Rattus norvegicus: one gene and its partners. The protein of the gene in region 2 interacts with the protein of the main gene of each other region in a pairwise test. Links are inferred from orthologs where the notes say so. Each region holds a gene or a part of one and is shown on either strand. Other genes may lie near its edges. The genes, in order: Exosc1, Dmrtb1, Rbfox2, Pkp2 and Qki.

What was found.
Region 1: the proteins of Dmrtb1 (region 2) and Exosc1 interact in a two-hybrid assay, tested with the Homo sapiens proteins (2 studies listed by BioGRID). The link is inferred for Rattus norvegicus from reciprocal best matches to the Homo sapiens genes DMRTB1 and EXOSC1.
Region 3: the proteins of Dmrtb1 (region 2) and Rbfox2 interact in a two-hybrid assay, tested with the Homo sapiens proteins (3 studies listed by BioGRID). The link is inferred for Rattus norvegicus from reciprocal best matches to the Homo sapiens genes DMRTB1 and RBFOX2.
Region 4: the proteins of Dmrtb1 (region 2) and Pkp2 interact in a two-hybrid assay, tested with the Homo sapiens proteins (2 studies listed by BioGRID). The link is inferred for Rattus norvegicus from reciprocal best matches to the Homo sapiens genes DMRTB1 and PKP2.
Region 5: the proteins of Dmrtb1 (region 2) and Qki interact in a two-hybrid assay, tested with the Homo sapiens proteins (2 studies listed by BioGRID). The link is inferred for Rattus norvegicus from reciprocal best matches to the Homo sapiens genes DMRTB1 and QKI.

The regions. Positions count from the first base shown.
Region 1 is NC_086019.1:250,691,948-250,696,119, forward strand, and holds the start of Exosc1 (exosome complex component CSL4), read right to left. Parts: upstream 2,802-4,172; 5' UTR 2,793-2,801; coding exon 2,762-2,792; intron 2,677-2,761; coding exon 2,561-2,676; intron 2,539-2,560; exon of another isoform or gene 2,384-2,538; intron 2,341-2,383; exon of another isoform or gene 1,375-2,340; intron 936-1,374; coding exon 861-935; intron 1-860. UniProt on the Homo sapiens protein: Non-catalytic component of the RNA exosome complex which has 3'->5' exoribonuclease activity and participates in a multitude of cellular RNA processing and degradation events.
Region 2 is NC_086023.1:127,675,687-127,678,260, forward strand, and holds part of Dmrtb1 (doublesex- and mab-3-related transcription factor B1), read right to left. Parts: intron 1,908-2,574; coding exon 1,699-1,907; intron 760-1,698; coding exon 552-759; coding exon of another isoform or gene 433-551; exon of another isoform or gene 1-432.
Region 3 is NC_086025.1:110,746,396-110,749,914, reverse strand, and holds part of Rbfox2 (RNA binding protein fox-1 homolog 2), read left to right. Parts: intron 1-2,338; coding exon 2,339-2,563; intron 2,564-3,519. UniProt on the Homo sapiens protein: RNA-binding protein that regulates alternative splicing events by binding to 5'-UGCAUGU-3' elements. Prevents binding of U2AF2 to the 3'-splice site.
Region 4 is NC_086029.1:98,165,912-98,169,430, forward strand, and holds the end of Pkp2 (plakophilin-2), read right to left. Parts: intron 2,955-3,519; coding exon 2,867-2,954; intron 568-2,866; coding exon 499-567; 3' UTR 63-498; downstream 1-62. UniProt on the Homo sapiens protein: A component of desmosome cell-cell junctions which are required for positive regulation of cellular adhesion.
Region 5 is NC_086019.1:53,036,421-53,039,939, reverse strand, and holds part of Qki (KH domain-containing RNA-binding protein QKI), read right to left. Parts: intron 2,560-3,519; coding exon 2,260-2,559; intron 1,572-2,259; coding exon of another isoform or gene 1,528-1,571; exon of another isoform or gene 339-1,527; coding exon of another isoform or gene 335-338; exon of another isoform or gene 276-334; coding exon of another isoform or gene 192-275; exon of another isoform or gene 1-191. UniProt on the Homo sapiens protein: RNA reader protein, which recognizes and binds specific RNAs, thereby regulating RNA metabolic processes, such as pre-mRNA splicing, circular RNA (circRNA) formation, mRNA export, mRNA stability and/or translation.

The DNA of each region.
Region 1 (4,172 bases), on a different chromosome or scaffold from region 2:
TTACCTTGCAGCCTAGCTCCCCTTTGAGATTCCCCGCCTCCCAAGCACCATTGGAGGAGCGTGCACCTATGCCCTGCCAGCAAAAATTTCTGTGATGACAGAAATGTGATTTCCTGGGGCTGGACAGATGGCTCAGCAGCTAAGCGCACCGGCTGCTCTTCTAGAGGACCTGGATTCCATTCCTAGCACCCATATGGTGGCCTATAATTATCTGTGCCTCTAGTCCCAGGGGGTGCGACACACCTTTCTAGGCTTTGTGGTAGCAGGCACGCATATGATACAGACAAGATAACTATTCACATGAGGTAAAACAAAACCAATCATTTCCTAGAACTGAAGACGTACTTCTGGGGAGTCCATCACTTTCCCACACCCCCCAAACTAAAGTCATATGTCAACCAGTATGGCAGCCACTAACCACAATTTGCTACCGAGTACTTAAAATGTGAATAGTGTTGGGATTGTGGGGTGCAGGATCTCACTCTGTAGCCTATTCTGGTCTTGGACTACTGTTCAATAATTCTAAACAGCATCCAAATACCGAGACCACAGATATTTTATATTTTAGCCTGGCTAAAAATAAATTTTTCATTCTTTTCTTTCTTTTTGAGACAGGGTTTCTCTATGAAGCCCTGGGTGTCCTGGAACTCTCTGCATAGACCAGGCTGTCCTCAAGTATTCACCTGCCTATGCCTCCTGAGTACTGGGATTAAAGGCTGAGTCAACACATCCATCCCTGAGATTGACCTTCTAGCAGTAATAAACTTAAAACACCCTTCTCTAGCTAGGGACTACTGTATTAAGCAGCGGACCACGGCAGTTGTAGGATCTCGGCCTAATCATGACTAGGACCGGCTTACCTTACAGGTGACGACAGCTCCCACATCTGGAAGTAACTGGGACTCTGTCTCTCTCATTACTGATACCACGGGAAGCTGTGGAGAGAATACGAAGGTTAGTGTACTGGCTAAGTAAGCCCTGGGTAAAGAGAACTGAAGGCTGAGGATAATACAGGGGTATCTTACAACAGCCGAGGTCACAAGGGCAGGCAGCCTGTAGATTCATTTATAGCCCATAGCAGAGGACATTAGTCATTTTAGGAAATAAAGAGGATCAGAGGCCATTAGAACTAGGCTGCCAGGTTTAATGTGATCATTCTGATTAGTTGTAAATGACTGAAGACTCTCTTGGGATTTCCTGGTACAAATCCTATTGCTTATAATTATGAATATCCTGACTCTTTCTTCAAGCTATAACTTTTTTTTTTTTTACTTCAGGATTTGCAATTAAATGCTATAGAATGGCAACTCTTGTTTTACTCCAATGGCAACTGGTGTATTATCTTACCTCTCTTGCTCTGTGCTGTTTCCTTACCTTACTAAGTCCCTCCCATTTCACGTTGTCTGTCTAATCCATTCTTTCCACACTCCTCCACCTCTCCTTATCTTCAGGTGCCGAAATATTATTGTCACTATCTAGAATTCATGCAGCCCGTTACATGTTCTCACTGTTCCGCACACTTCTTTTGAAGATATGTTTGTGCATTTGCTCATGGTTTGTGTCTGTCTCCCTGGTAACAAAAGCTAAGTGTATTGGGCTCAGGACTCTATCCCCAGTAGCAACTAAGGGCACCACTGGGCAGGACATCTATGTAGTGAGTAGACTGACAGGCTGAGTTTTATCTCCAAAACCAATAGACTGGAGCCCATTTTTTTTACAAATAAGTACAACACAAAGTGGGAAGTTTGGGTTTTGCCAGTCTCTAAAGAGGGTGTGTTTTTCCCCAGGTCCCAAGCTAGGCAAACGCTGTGCTGATGAGCCACAAGCCCAGCCTGAGGAGGTTTAATTCTTAGTTTTTATAGTCTTACAAATGTCAACCACTGCTTTATCTGAGTCAGTTAGAAGCTGGGAATACACTCGTGTATCACCATGCATGGCTACACTTAAACTTCTACTTGGGCAAGAATCTAGTTATCATGAGTAACATATTTAAATAAGTGCTCCAGGGAAGGTTCTTGGGCACAACAATCCTACTGCCACTAAAACCCCCATTTTCTCAGTCAGCAGGTCCAGAAGGGCTTCTCTGGGAAAGCCATACATACAAACAAAAAACAAAAGGGATTGAGCAGAAGTGTGTTCCAGACAGACAAGTACATGCATTGCATAGGCTTCGAAACAGAGTTTAGTTCACTAAGACACTGAAAATCTCCAGCATTACTACATTGATGTCAGTGAAGTGGGACACAAGAGCCACAAGAAAGCGGAGGTAGTCGAGATGCATGACGGGAAGAAGCTCTCGGCTGGCCGGGCTATTCTCAAATTTGCGTGCTTTTCCCCTCCACCTCCTTCTGTGAGTGTCTCTACACAACTAAGCCAGCCCAACCTAAATGGTGTGCAGCAGGTGTGTTTTAGCACAGCGCTGGGATCAGAGCTGGGAGAAGCTGGGAGACCAAAGCTCTGAGACACCAAAGACAGGTCCTCCCGGTAGTGCCTGTGCCCAAGGACCAGAACTCGATGGCAGCCTGAGAGGTGACGCTCGTTGGCTAGCCGCTTTCTTTACCGCGCCATTCTCGCTGGTCTTCGTCAGGCAGCCAGCCAGCGACGAAAAGATGTAGCCGTGCCGGGTGTAGGTGCCGCTGCCCGGGCTGCCTTCCTCCAAGTTACACAGACGTTCGCCTGCAGAAGACATGTGCCTCAGCTACGAGCTCCCAGAAACTGGCTGCCCGCAGCCAGGGTCTGCCTGCGGAGACCGCTCACTTACCCGGGATGCAGTACCTCACAGGTGGTGCCATGCTTGCCACCGTCCACAACCCGGATGAGAACCAAGACGACTTCTTATTGGTCAACTAGAGGAGCGGCCTCGCAGTTACGCGTGCACCAATTGGCGCTTTCGACCGCGCAAGGCGTAAGAGCGAAGCCTGACTCCATTTCCCAGGCTGCCCCGGGACAGAGTTCTGGGCGTGACTTTGCGGGCTCTGAGACTCGCGCCTGCGCAGCTGGGTGGTGATGGGCTGTCCGCGGGTCTCGGTCCGCTGGCTGGCGCTGCGGGCTCAGGGCCATGGTGGGTTAGCCTTAGCTCGGCCCGGCCTGGGTCCCGAGCTGGAAGGGGAGGCAGTGAGTGGCTGACAGGGAGACTTGGCCTAATCTAGCTGATTGAGAAGCTGGCAGGAGGCAGGTAAGAGTGAAGGCGCGGTTCTTGTCCCCATCCGAGTCTCGGGTGTCCAGGCCCTTAAGTTCAAGTTCCTGGACTCTCTGCGCCCTGCCCTGCGTGGCTGTCCCAACTCATCCTCAGTCCCAACTCGCCCATTTCACGAGTTTGGAGACTCAGATCCAGAGACAAGGTTTGGTTTGTACAAAGTGTCGTAGATAGTTCGAGACAGACTAAGCTTAAGCCTTTTTTCTTTTTCTTTTTTTTTTTTTGACCTGAGCCTATCATAATTGGACCCTGCTGCACCTGGAGACACAACCTTTTTTTTTTTTTTTTTTTTTTTTTTTTTTTTTAAGCTTTGTAAAACGACAGTTTCTTCTCTTGCAGGCAGATACTCTAGAGCGTGAGCTCCTTAACTATGAATGGGCAGCTTGACGTTAACATACCATTCCTTTTGCATTCTTCCATTTTAGCATGTTAGCCGGGAAAGACAACTTCATTAATAGAATATTATGCTTTCTTGACATCAGCTTGATATGGCAAAGGTCACGGGAGCAGCAGCTGTGTCCAGATGAAATTTGCCGTGACTTGATCTCAGTTTCATCTCTTGGCTCTGGAATTTATTCCTATCTCCCCTTCCCTCCCTGTCAGTCAGGCTTCTTTGAGATACAGATGGTGATTTAGGGGAGTGCTGTTGCCTGCTAATCTCTACTCTGGTGGCAGATGGCCACTGTACTCTGTGGATTCTACTGAGAGGTGGCAGGACTTGGGGTTTGGAGGAACTATGCTGGCTTATCCCTCCTCTGTTCATTCAGGTCATCCATGACTTCTCACCACATTTAGATTTAAAGACTTTGTTTTTTTTCTCTGTTTCCCAAGGTAAAACCTTTTCACTTGTGGTCCATTTATTACATCTTTTTCTAGTCTCCTCCTTCTCCTCATATCCCACTAGGCTGGGGGGGGGGGGTCCTGGACCCATTCTTTGTTCACTGGAGTTTGATCAGCAACTATATGCTTTCCACTT
Region 2 (2,574 bases):
ACCATGTTCCTAAAGGTAGCACCTAGGGCTATCCTCTGACTTCACACACATGCATGCTCACCTTCCCACACACAGACATGCATATACATATGCACAAAAAGAAAATATCCATGTTTTTAAAAATTAGAAAGAAGTCACAGAGTGTACATAAATCTCAAAGGACCGCTGACCCTGTGAGGGGGAAGCCTGAGGCTCCCTATTCAGGTGTCTCAATTAGCAGTGGCAGAGTTGCCAGGCAGACTCTCTAGCTCCTGTCCAAGGGACTTGGAGGATGACGACAGTGGGGTCTCCGGCATGGCTCCTCCTGTGGCTGTAGGCTCCTTCCTGACCAGAAGTCCTGGGCCTCTCATTTACTGAGCACTCTATGAACGTGAGCATACTCCCCCACTCCTTGCCCTCAGTAATCCTGTTCTAACCGCCATGGATTCACACTTATAGACTACGGGGAGGGCTGAGGAATGAGCTCAGCCCACAGCCCCTCTCTCCACCCCCCACTTCAGGTGACCTCTCCCCTACAGTCCTCCCCATCACCCAGAATATCCCTGTCTTACTGGTTTTCTCCTTGTCTGTATCATACAGGATGGTCAGCGAGAAAGACGGTGGAGATGGTGGCGGTGGTGGCGGTGGCAGGAAGTGGAGAGCAGAGAGGTAGCCTGGTGGGAGGAAGTGGGGCTGCTGTGGCTGGGGTGGGGGAGGTGGTAGTGGAGGGGGAGGGGGTGAGCAGTAGGTTGGCTGCAGGTCTCTGGCTGGTTCTGACACCTGTGTGGACACACAGAAGGAGGGGCAGAGAGGGAGACAGTGAGCTGAACTCAGTCACATCTTTTATTTATCAGGGGGTCCCTGGGGTGGTAGATACCCTTCTTGTGCAGGGCACTTGGGACAGGGCGTTCAGCAGACACGGGCTGCATGAACGCAGGCAAGCAGGAATGCAGGCATATCTTAGCTGAGCCTGGGGGCTTTCCCTAGGGGATTTGGGAGAGCAGAATTCTCCAGGGTGCAGAGCTGGGAAGAAGGCAGATTGCTTTCTCTCTGGGCTTTGTCCAACTCTCTTGGGCAAAGGGGACTAGAGGAAGCACACACAATAGCAGTAAATAGGCAGGGACAGGGATGGTGAGGGCAGGGGCACGTGAGTGAAAATAGTCTCCTGGCTCTTAGTTTTAATCCAGACGTGGTGACCGTGGAAGAGGGAATTGTCAGCATTTGAATTCCAAGCTGTCGACCAAGTCTCTCCTTAGAACAAAGCTCCTGCCTAGGCCAGGCTGGCACTGACGGGAGCAGCCACATCTTTCAGGCTGGGCAGGAAATGGTGCCATGGGAGCTGAGAGCTAGATTTGGTGTACGTCTGAGACACACTTGGGATAGTAGACAACGCCTGGGCTTGAAGCCGGGCATCTCTGAATCCATACCAATCAGCCAAGTGTGCTGAATCCCAGGCCTCATTCACGAGCCCTGTGGCGTCGGTGCTCAGTAGAATGAAGGCCGCTCTGACAGCTGCATTGCATGGATCAAGCCTACAGTCTTCCCTGGGTTCCAAGTCTGGGGAGCAGACATCACAGCCCAGGCCCAGTGGTGCAGACCTCTGTGTACTCCGAGAGATACTGTCTATGACCACCGGTCCTCTGGGACTGAGGGCCAGCGGAAGTGATAAGGGCAGCTGGGATAAGGGCGAGCTTAGACCGGAGTCAGACTCCAACTTACCAAGCTATTTCCATGATAGGGGCCGCAGGAGACGTGCCGAAAGCCTCTTTGTTGAGGGACCCCCAGAGCAGAGGATGAATCCTGGCCTTCCGAAAGTGGGAAGGGCTGGTAGGGTGGCACAGGGATGCAGGCAGGGCACTGCTTGAACGGCTCTCTCTCAGGGTACCCAGCTCCTACCACATGATCAGACTTGAATCTCAGAGGATGCCCTAAGAAGATAAACAGAGAGGGAAGTGTTAAGAACACAAAGCCGAGGGGTAAAGCATTGCACTGCTGTCTCCCAGGCAACAGCAAGATTGACATAACCGACCAAAGAAGCCTCGAGAGGTACACTGGGCTTCATTATACTCTTACGCATGCACAGATAATGTATTCTGGCTGCATTCACCCAGTGCCCTCGCATCTCCTCTCCTTGTCGTTGATCCTTTCTGCCCTTTGTCCCCTTTCTACCTTAATGCCTCTCTGTGTATGTGTGTGAACCAGTAAGGTTAGCTAAGGTTACTTTCAGGAACAAGGGTGGTCACACCACCGAATAAAGAGTCTACCCCTTGCTCTATTAATTAACTATTAATTGCCTGCAGATCCTTGGGGGGGGGGGTCCCATGCAAGTAGTAGGCTGCTGTGAGCTGGTGGGTAGGACGAACAAGCTATGCTCGACACGCTCTGCCCCTTCTCCTGGCTCTGATGTTCTTCCCTCTCCCCTCCATGATGTCCCCTGGGAGCTGGTAGAGGGTGATAAGGGACGGACGTCCCACCTAGGGCTGGGCATTTAACAGCTGCTCTGCCGCCCTTTAACCACTTAAAAGTCTAGCAGTAGCTGCCATATAACACTAACAGCAGCACTAGCACACTGGTGAGAGTCCCAGTCCCCTCACA
Region 3 (3,519 bases), on a different chromosome or scaffold from region 2:
CCAGCCCTGGTAGCAGTTGTTCCATGCTTTCTTCCTTTTAGCTCTAATGGGCCTCTTCATTCAGGTTCCCGGGTGAGAGCCTTCATACATCTTCTCACTGCTCACCTGTGCTTATGTATGTCTTATGTCTGTGGGTGCATACACAGATGTTCTTCTGTATATGTGAATGCATGTGGAGGTTGTAAGTTGACATACAGTGTCTTCTTCAGTTGCTTTCCACCTTAGTTTTGAGACAGGATCTCTAATGTAACCTGAAACTCATCTTTTGACAAGACTGACTGGCCAGCAATCCCAGGGATCCTCCTATCTCTGCCTATCCAGCCCCAAGCACTTCAGCATCTGAACTGTCTTCCCTGTGTTGGTTTTAGAAAGGCAGGCCAAGTTTGAAAGCCTACCTAAGCAAATGCCAGGGAATAAATATGTAAAATGCTTAAGAGCAAAACTTTTTAGCATCCTAGTTAAACTGGGGGATATTCTTTTAAGCACTTGTTTTATGATTGAGGGCTGTCTGATTGGGGTGCCTTAGGATCTGCAGCCCGCTGTTTAGATTATGTTTGTAAGTTGGAGTCAAGATTACCAAATGGAAAAATTAGAATGAAGTCAAAAAGGAATGGAAAGACAACAAAAAAATACCTTCTCTTTTCTTCATCACATGGACTTCACCCTAGAAAGACTAATAATTTACCTTTCCAGGCGCCTAGCCCAGAGTATAAAGCGTAGGGGCCAGAGATGCGCGACTTGATAAGAAAACTTGCTGATTGGTGCTGCTTAGTCTCTGTCAGCTTGACACAAACTAGAGTTACATGGGAAGAGGGGTCAACTAAGGAATTGCCTGTCAGGCTGACCTGGAAACATGGCTGTAGGCCAGTGTTTTATTAATGATTACAGTGGGAAAACCCAGCCTACTGTGGGCAGTGACACTCTGGGTAGGTGGTCCTGGGTTGTATAAGAAAGCAGGGCAGAGCAAGCCAGTAAGTAATGCTCCTCCATCAATTCCTGCCTCCATCAGGAGCTCACAATACCTACTCCAGCTCCTGAATGTTTGGTGCCGTCTTCTGGCTTCTGCAAGGACATAACAGATGTATACATATACATACATTTTAAAAATAATACAAATATTTTAAAAGCATTTCACATATGTAGAGGTAATCATATCAATTATGATAAGTTGGCTGGAAGCCATTGTATTTCCCTTTCAACTTAAAACTTTGACATGTGGACTGAAAATTGATTTGAACACATTCTTAAATTGTTTTTATTATTATGAATGTTAATGACTTCATATTTCTAATAGAAACAATAATTATAATATATTTGGTAGAGTAAATGCTATAAAACATTGTCCCCAGTCTGTTCTCTTAGCATATAGACAGCTATTTAAGTCTTGCTATTAGCCACATTTCTCTAAGTAAAATGAAATCCTGACACACACATACACACACACACACACACACACACACACACACACACACACACACCCAATGGAACCCTCACAGAAGACAGAGTCTGACTGTGGTTGCATCTCTGTGGTGCTTAGACTATGGGTATACACTAAAAGCATTACCTTCTCCTGATCCCCACCACTAGCTGATGTGTTTATTCAGCTAGCTGAGCCAGCTCTGGCAGAAATAGCCCCACAGGATGATTCATGCTGTATACTTGTGTACCAGAGTCTCACTCCCATCAGGGATGGGGTGAAAAATGGAGGTTAGAGTTCAAGAAGAGCAGTGTCAGAGCCAGAGGCAAGTCCTTTGCTTGCTAATCTGAACCTGGAAGCTGTGTCTTTAAACCTTTGTATGTCTCTTCATAGACCCTTTCTGGAGATTTCTGAAAGGTGATCGATCCTTAGGCTCTGCTCATCTATTAGTCTGCCTGAATTTGAATTTTTGTCTGTTGCACGCCTGTCTTCGTATTAATCAATCCTCTAATGGCCTTGGAAGCAGGATGTCCTGCCAACTATGGGTATAGGCAGAACACCAAATGAGATGGAAGAGATGATTAAATATTAAACTCTTGGCTATCAAGGTGGCTCAGCAGGTAAAGGTACTTATCACCAAATCTGAGTTTGATCCCAGGGACTCGTGTTGAAAGAGGATGTGGAATCAAGTTGCCCTCCTACCTCCACACTACTGTACCATAATTCTCACAAGCAAAACACACATAAAATTAAGTTAATCAGTTGATTTTTTTTTTTTTTAAAGAATGATGATCCCAGCAGTTTTTTTCTGAGTGGGGGACAGTGAGAGAACATGCCAAAAGACCTGTGTTCTTACCTTGAAAGTCATTTTATGATAAAGATTTATTCACTCACTCCTTTCTCTTCTGTTGCTTGCTCTAGGGTAACCAGGAGCCAACAACAACTCCTGACGCAATGGTTCAGCCTTTTACTACCATCCCATTCCCACCACCTCCACAGAACGGAATTCCCACAGAATATGGAGTGCCACACACTCAGGACTATGCCGGCCAGACCAGTGAACATAACCTGACACTCTACGGGAGTTCACAGCCCCATGGAGAACAGAGTAGCAATTCACCCAGCAACCAGAATGGATCTCTCACGGTATGTGAAGTCGGAGACGCAAGGTGAAATGTTCACCTTCTCAGAAGACAGACAGAAAGCCTTGAGTTAGTTTAGCCTTGCTATGCGTTGCCCAGCGTGCATGTGCTGACTGTTCTTTCCTAAGCTGCACAGTGCAGAGTTTGAACTAAGCCTCACCACTGCTGCCTGGAAGCAACCTTCCTGCACCCTCCATTGTATGAATCCGCACCCAGCCTCATCTGCACAGTCTCACAGGCTGCCTCACACAGCCTCCTCCTTGCTCCTTGGCGCTCTAGGCCATTTAAATGACTTGTACTTCCCTCCTGGTTTTCCTACTCAGCAACGGGTGTTGTGATGCTTCCTTCTCCTCTTGTTCAAATTTCAGATGTGGCAGCGTTCTGAGTGCCTTCTCTGCATCCTTACCCCACCAACTCACTCTTTACTTAAGCCAAAGCCAGGTGTCACCGATCCTCACTCTTCATGTCTACCCTCAGTCATGAAGGACGTTAGCAAGCGCAGTTCCACAGTGGTGCAAAGTACAGTAGTGCTCAGTTCTCCCCGGCGGAGGGCAGAGGGCGGAGGGCGGAGGGCGGAGGGCGGAGCTCTTCTGCTAGCCGCTTGGGGTTGATTCAGCTGACTAGAGATTAAATCACAGCCTGGCCTCAGAAGAATGAGTTTAGGCAAGTTATTTAATGTTCCTTTGCCTTGAAATAGAAGAAAAGGAAGGTCATAATGCCTACCTCAAAAGCTGTCAAGAACATTCTCATGAACTTGGTGGCACAGGCTTGTATCTTTGCAACCCAGGAGTCTGAGGCAGGTGGGTTGCCATAATTTAAGGTGTACTGGAGCTACAAAGAGAATTCAAAGCCAGCCATGATTCATTAACAAGATCCTGTCTGAAACTTACAAGTATAAAGGGTGCTGGACATGCACACTGCACTCTCAAGCTGCCACTGCCTCTGTTTTCTCAAGCACAG
Region 4 (3,519 bases), on a different chromosome or scaffold from region 2:
AGAAAGAAAAGGCAAAGCCAAGAACGGCAATGCAGCAGGGCCAAGAACAATCACAGAGGAAGTGATCTGCCATCAAAGCTTTATTCCTGCACTTGGGTCCTGTGCAGCACTGGTGCACACACACCTCTGGCTCACTAAGGAGGTGACATGCAGACAAGTGACTAGGCTTCCTCAGATTCCTCCGATGAGCACCCACATGGGTGTACATAAGCCTGGATACTGATGCCCATCATCTGCACAGGGAACACGGATTCCACACTGGTGCGACCTGGCAAGTCTCCAGGATGTCTAACAAAATCATATTCAGATATTCGTTACTAGATTTGGGGGATGAAAATAGAAAAGAGTATAAACAAAGCATGCTTTTTGAGGTTTCTTGGGTCAGTTAGTAGAAAAATAGGTGTTTTCTTTGGGGATTTTTTTTTTGTTTTTTGTTTTTTGTTTTATTTTTTCAGTGGAGAATTGTGAAGCTGGAGTTCCTGAGTCGTCTTCTCCTTATTAGTCTTTAAGGGAGTGGGAGGCCTTGGCAGTCCGGCTGTTGACGAAGTCCGTCTTCTTAAACTGAGCCTTTAGAAGAAGCAGACAAAAATAGAAAATATAAAAATTCTCACATAAGAAAATGCCTCATCCACTTGTCAATTGAAGGATATTTAGGTTGTTTGCATTTTCTGGCTGTTGTGAACAGGGCAGCAGTGAACAGGCGTCTGTCTCACACAATGTCCTGAGGACATACGTCAAGGAGTCATAGAGCTGGTCATATAGTGATTTATTTTTCACTCTCTGAGAGTGAAAAATCCATACTGATTTCCAGAATGGCTGCAACAGTGTGCAGTCCCAACAGTGAATGAGGTTGCTGCTTTCCCATAATCCTTACCTACTCTTTTCACTCTTAATCTTAGCATTCTGATGGGGAAAGAGGAAATCTCAAATACTGTTGAAATACTTTCTTGAAACAACCTAAATGCCCTTCAGTTGATGACTGGATGATAAAAATGCAGTACATGTACACATCGAAACTCTATTCACCTGTGAAGAAAAATAAAGGCATATAATTTTCAGGTACAGGGATGAAACTAAAACATATTTTACTGAGAGAGGTGATCCAGACCCAGAGAATCAAGTCACATGTTCTCTCTTATTTTACGGCTCTAGCTCTTAATCTTCATATGGAAGCCTGGAGTATCTGCAGAAGCCAGAAGGAGAAAAGGGGGATCGAAGTTGGGCCAGAGTGAGGCAAAGGTTGGGCTACGGGGCAATAAAGGAAAGGTGGGGTCATGGAGTGAGGGAAAGTTCTTGAATGACAAGACACAGGTGATAGGAAGGTGGAAATGGAAAAGATGGGAACATATTAATTGGAGATTTGGGGGGGTGATACAGACAAAAAGGGAAGGAGGAAGGATAAGGAACACTAAGAACGTTTGAAAAAGCATAGCAAATTATTTTATGTTTATTTAAAATTACATATATGTGTATACATGGATATAGAGCTTAATGACGTTATACCACTTGGGGTGATAATGTTTCCCTAAAAAGCCATGGACTATCTAACAAAACCTCTGGTACTACACATGAGAAACCCTCTTCTTCTTTGCTGGTCAAGGGAGACCATAAGACTCCCAAAGCAACATAAGCCATTACTATTTCCTGTGTTGCCTCCTAGAACTTGAAGGTAAATTCCTACTGCTGAAGACGCCACACACTGTGCACAGAGGACTTGGAGGAAGCGAGCTGGAACTGACCTGGAAGCCTCCTTCTTAAGGAGTGGCTCTCACATATCAGTAGTTGCCAAGGGAGAGGATGATCAATCAGTAGTCGTCGTTCCCTGTAAAGCCTGTGTACCACAACAAGGATTGGACCGACAAGATACGCTCAAATCGTGGTGGTTCTGTCTGGGAGGTGATTAACAACTGTCTAATTGGGTTTCTGACCACTCACTGTAGGGAAATACTGTTTGGTACTGTAAACCCTAGAGAGGTCATATCCCCAAAATTAGTCTACTACTGCCATATCCTAAATCAGTATAATTTCTAATTTGTATTCTAATTACTTTTCCTTAGAGCCACAAAAAGAAGTGTAGCTCTCACTCATCACCAAAGAAGCTTCCTTTTGCAACATACAGAAACTATTACGGATATCTACAACGGATCAAAATGTAGAGAGTATGGGACCATGCAGTGCCCTGCTACAAGTGGTGCATCTGTGATGCAACCCTCTACCTAGAGCCCAGGGAGAATCATGGAAGAAAGGATAGAAAGATCCTATGAGCCAGAGGTTGCTAGACTGTATCGTGTCCCCTAGATATGGCAGGGGAAATGGATCCATGAACTTTCAATAATATAATCATTTGAACACAACCAGCAAACTGGCACTACCAGTTGACATATCAATGTGGACAAAGGAAATTCACATCGCCCTTCTAGATGAAGAGCCACAGGGATCAAGGGAGAGGGAGAACCAATCGTTCCCAGGGATGAACTCCTACACAGGTTGTCAACTGTGGACATGAGCAAAGCTGAGTAGACTCAGTGGGTTCCATATACGCTCGAGTACACACACACAGACACACACACACACACACACACACACACACACACACGTATTCATGCACATATGTATATACATGTAACAATAATACTTAAAGAAGAGAACCTGAATTTGCAAGAGAGGAACCAGAAGGGGAGGAAGAGGTAGAAGTGTTGCAGATACTGTGCTCATGTATGAAATTCTCAAAAAACAAAACAAAACAACAAAAACATGTTCAAGAAACAAAGAAGGAAGAAGAGGAAGAGGATGATGATGAAGAGGAGGAAGAGCAATTTGCTGATTTCTCACGAGGGGTCAGGTTTTAGCTGGTCAGTGTTCTTACCTTCTTGTAGGCATTATGGAGCTCGGTGTGTGCCCACAGAGAGTACAGGAGGACAGAGGCAGCTTTGCTGGCCTTGTTGGGGGCATAGCTGAAAGGACAGAGATGTGTCTGGGTCAGTGAGAATGTGCAGTTTTAGCCATTTCATTCACGTTTCTCAACTCTCTGCTCAGTGTGGCTTTAACAGTTGCCTCAAGCTCACTTTTCAGGAAGCTTTTAAATTATATATATATATGTATATATATATATATATATGTATATATATATATCACAAAGGTAGTGCTAATAAATAAATAATCTATAAAGGAAAAATCCATGGTATTTATATACTTTTTTTTTTTTTTTGGTTCTTTTTCGGAGCTGGGGACCGAACCCAGGGCCTTGCGCTTCCTAGGCAAGCGCTCTACCACTGAGCTAAATCCCCAACCCCTTTTCTTTTTCTTTTTGTTTTTTTTTTGTTTTTTTATTTATATACATTTTTAAGCCATTAATTACTTGTAGACCCTTACATTTATATAGTTATAATACATATTTACAGATTGCGACACAGAAAAACAACTGAAAATGTGTGTGCCTCTGAGACTAAAAAGGCCCTATCGATACAGGCAGAAAACAGTCTTTTCAAGTCAATACATATACTCTTGTGGTAATACTTG
Region 5 (3,519 bases), on a different chromosome or scaffold from region 2:
TTAGTAAAGCAAACAGTACAGTACACTTAGCAGTCAGTATACTTCTATACACTCCTTTATAAATTACCGTTGCTTTGTAGTATTACAGACTAATCCAAATTAATAGCATCATTTTACTTTATGTCTATGTGCAAAAAGTGCAAGTAAGTCACTGACTGCTAGGCTAAGGTTTGTCCCGGAGGCTGCTGAGACTAAGCATTGGTTAAATTCAGATCTGATGAGGGTTCGGTTAAGACCGTTCTTGAATTCTTAGCCTTTCGTTGGGAAAGCCATACCTAAAGATAAAAGGAAGGGAATTAAACATTAGTCATCAATGAAGATTTGATGCTAATACCAATCTCCTCACTACCACCAACACATATGTCTGCATCTGTTTTGAAGGGCACTGCTTATTTTAAAATAATGTGAGATTTGACACATAACATGCATGTTATCTGTGTGCAAATATACTATAACTTGGGAATTTAAAATAATTTCCTCAGTTCTCCAAAGAGAAATATCATAGTTTTACTGCTTAGGTGGCAAAGCAAGAAATAATAATAATAATAATAATAATAATAATAATAATAATTTCTTACTTGGTACTTATTGAGAACCTTGACAATGTTAATTGGGTATCTGCATATGTATTTTGCTCTTAATAGTGTTGGTTTCAAGTGTGTGTGTGTGTGTGTCTGTGTGTGTGTATACACACACACATATACACATACATTCTTACCAAACCAAACAACATGTTGCTTTACAATGGGGAAATTCTACAGCAGTGCCTCTTGCTGTCTCTAAGCAGTAAACTGGTTGAAAACCTATTTTTCATTTTAGATAAGCAGACTGCATAGAAATGTAATTCTATCTTGCAAAACTAGGAGCTCTTGCACTAACAGTCAGGAGCAGCAGCTGGAAGCTGAGAGCCCTAACTCCTCAGTAACAGATGCTGTGAGTGCAGCAGAGAGGAGTTCTGGGGAAGGAGCATGCACAGGGCCACAGGACAGAGTATTAATAGAAAGGAAAACTTAAATAAGGTTATAGGTTACATGTTATTTTTTTTTTTAAAAATGCTTCAAGTAATGTGCAACAGAACACAGCCTCTTACTAACATTTCTGTGGTATAATTCTGACTTATAATTATTTTATACAATGATTTAGACAGAAAACATGTACAATAAAATGTATGTTTATAAACAAAAGGCACCTAAGTGCATGCACACACACAGATAACATACAGAGCATTGTGGCTTTCTTTAAATGAACAATGAATTTTCAAGTTTAAATCTCAATGTCCAAGTTCATTAAAGATTTTCAAATTAATATTAAGCCGGGATCAGGAGGGAACCTTTAAAGATCAAAGTCCTAGGAGTCAACAGCAGGCACACAGCACCAAGGTCATACACAAAAAGGTTTCAGATTCTGTCTGGTAAAACAGTGGGGTTGCACAGAAACATTTTTTTTTGTTTTGTTTTTTTGTTTTGTTTTCCACATTGACTGGTCGTGTTATAACAGCTGCTGTATTCTAGTCCTTCATCCAGCAACTCAATGGGCTGAAATATCAGGCATGACTGGCATTTCAATCCACTCTATAAAAAAAAGGCATCAGTAATGTCTTTTTCAAGAATATTGCTTTTTGATCATGTAAACGCATGAATTTATATGACTTCAATTTTTGCCTCCAACATGATTGAATTTACTAAGTTGGTATGTGATCATCTAATCCACAGTCATATGGAAATTATAAAATACTGGTCATGTTGACCAGGACTTTAAAAGATATAAGCTGAAAACCCTTAAAACTACAACTATCAACTGCATCCTTCAGGTGATCATAAATATTTAAACACATACAAATAACAGACTTTTAATAAAAATATCAATATATTGATAGAATTTTAAAATTCACCAAGCAATCTGAGACAAAATAAACCTCATTTTGGGAGGTAGAACTTTGTCAATTAGGATAATGGGGCAAAAATGACCTAAATAAAACTCAGGAACAAGTTTAGTCACCTAAGAAACATCTCACTGAGACTATGCATGGCCAGTTTCCCTACAGTGATCCTGAGACACTAAAGGAAATTAACCCAAATTAAGGTGTCGCTACTTAATGGGGAGAACCCTAGTGAGGAACTGAAATAAAACCTATTTAGTTTTCAACTTTTGCTAATTAAAACTTACAATGTCTTTCTGAAATTGATAAATATCCTTTCAAAGTCTGCGGTGCCAAAATTTAGGAATGCATTAATCACTCAGGACAGAAATCATACTCACCTAACACACCGCTGGGTTCAATGGGGTACTCAAGGATTGACGTAGCTGGTGCCAACGTGTAGGGGTACTCATAGGGTGTGTAGATTAACCCAGCTTCAGGCCCTGGAGGGACTATTGCAGCAGTTGGGTGAGGAGTTCCGTTTGGCATGACAGCGGTCTGAATCTGTCTGATCAAAGGCATTATGGTAGGGCCAGCTGGCGTGGGTGTACGCAGAGCAGCTGGTGGGAGGACAGGCGCGGGCCCAGTGATGATCCTTGGAGCAGCCTGGGCAGTTGCTGCAAGAGAAAAGGCAAGGGCTGCTACAGTAAGCAAAGAAATTTAGAAAGAAGTATAGGGATAGCAGTAATAAAACATGAGGAAATGAGAGGGAAGTAGGAAAAAGAAAGGAAAAAGCAGAAAAGAAGAAAAATAAAAGGAAATCATTAGTACATGCATTGACCACACGGAAATGCCAAAGCACATCAACCAAGTGCAGTCAGCTTCCTCTCCCCAACATGATCAACAAATGCAAAAATAAAAACCCACTGTAAAAATCAAAAAAAGATCAAGTCCATTAAATGTTATACTTTTCCTATCTCTGCTGATATATCCATTTACAACATTTTGAGAGACTAAACTGCATCCAAAAAACCCCACAAGAGAACATTCCAATTAAAAGATGCAACAAAGTAGCAGGAGTTGAGTCCACACACTGTATCTCCAAAGTACAACTCTGTTCAAGGAAAGCTCCCTGGATAAGTCAGGTAAGTCAACACTGACATCATGTGTTCCCAGCATGCTAGGGATTGCTGCGTGAGGAAGAGAATGCAGAAACAGCCCTACTGCTAACTCCATGACGATAAAGAGTACATCAGAGCCAACCACAGCAAGCACTGCTGAACTCAGTGCTGCCTATCTTGGGAAATTTGATTATAAGTTTAAAATTATTCGTGTGTGTGTGTGTGTGCTTGCTCAAAATATGTTCAAATAAATGACATGTAAACCGTAGCTCAACTCAAAACAGCAACTATTCTCTCACACAGCTTATAAAATTATGCCACAATCCATGAAAGGGAGAACGTAGTTTGAAACATTCTCCCTCAGTGATCTCTGAACTTGCATAGGAACTTTTAATAGCGAACAACACGAGTGCAAACATGCAAGCAGGGGAAAGGAAAGACCAGAGCAGCAGCAGGGCCATTTCATTACACTTCAAATAAAAAAAACTTTCAAAAGTTTGTCCTTTGACTAATGTCACACACACAGACACACACACACAC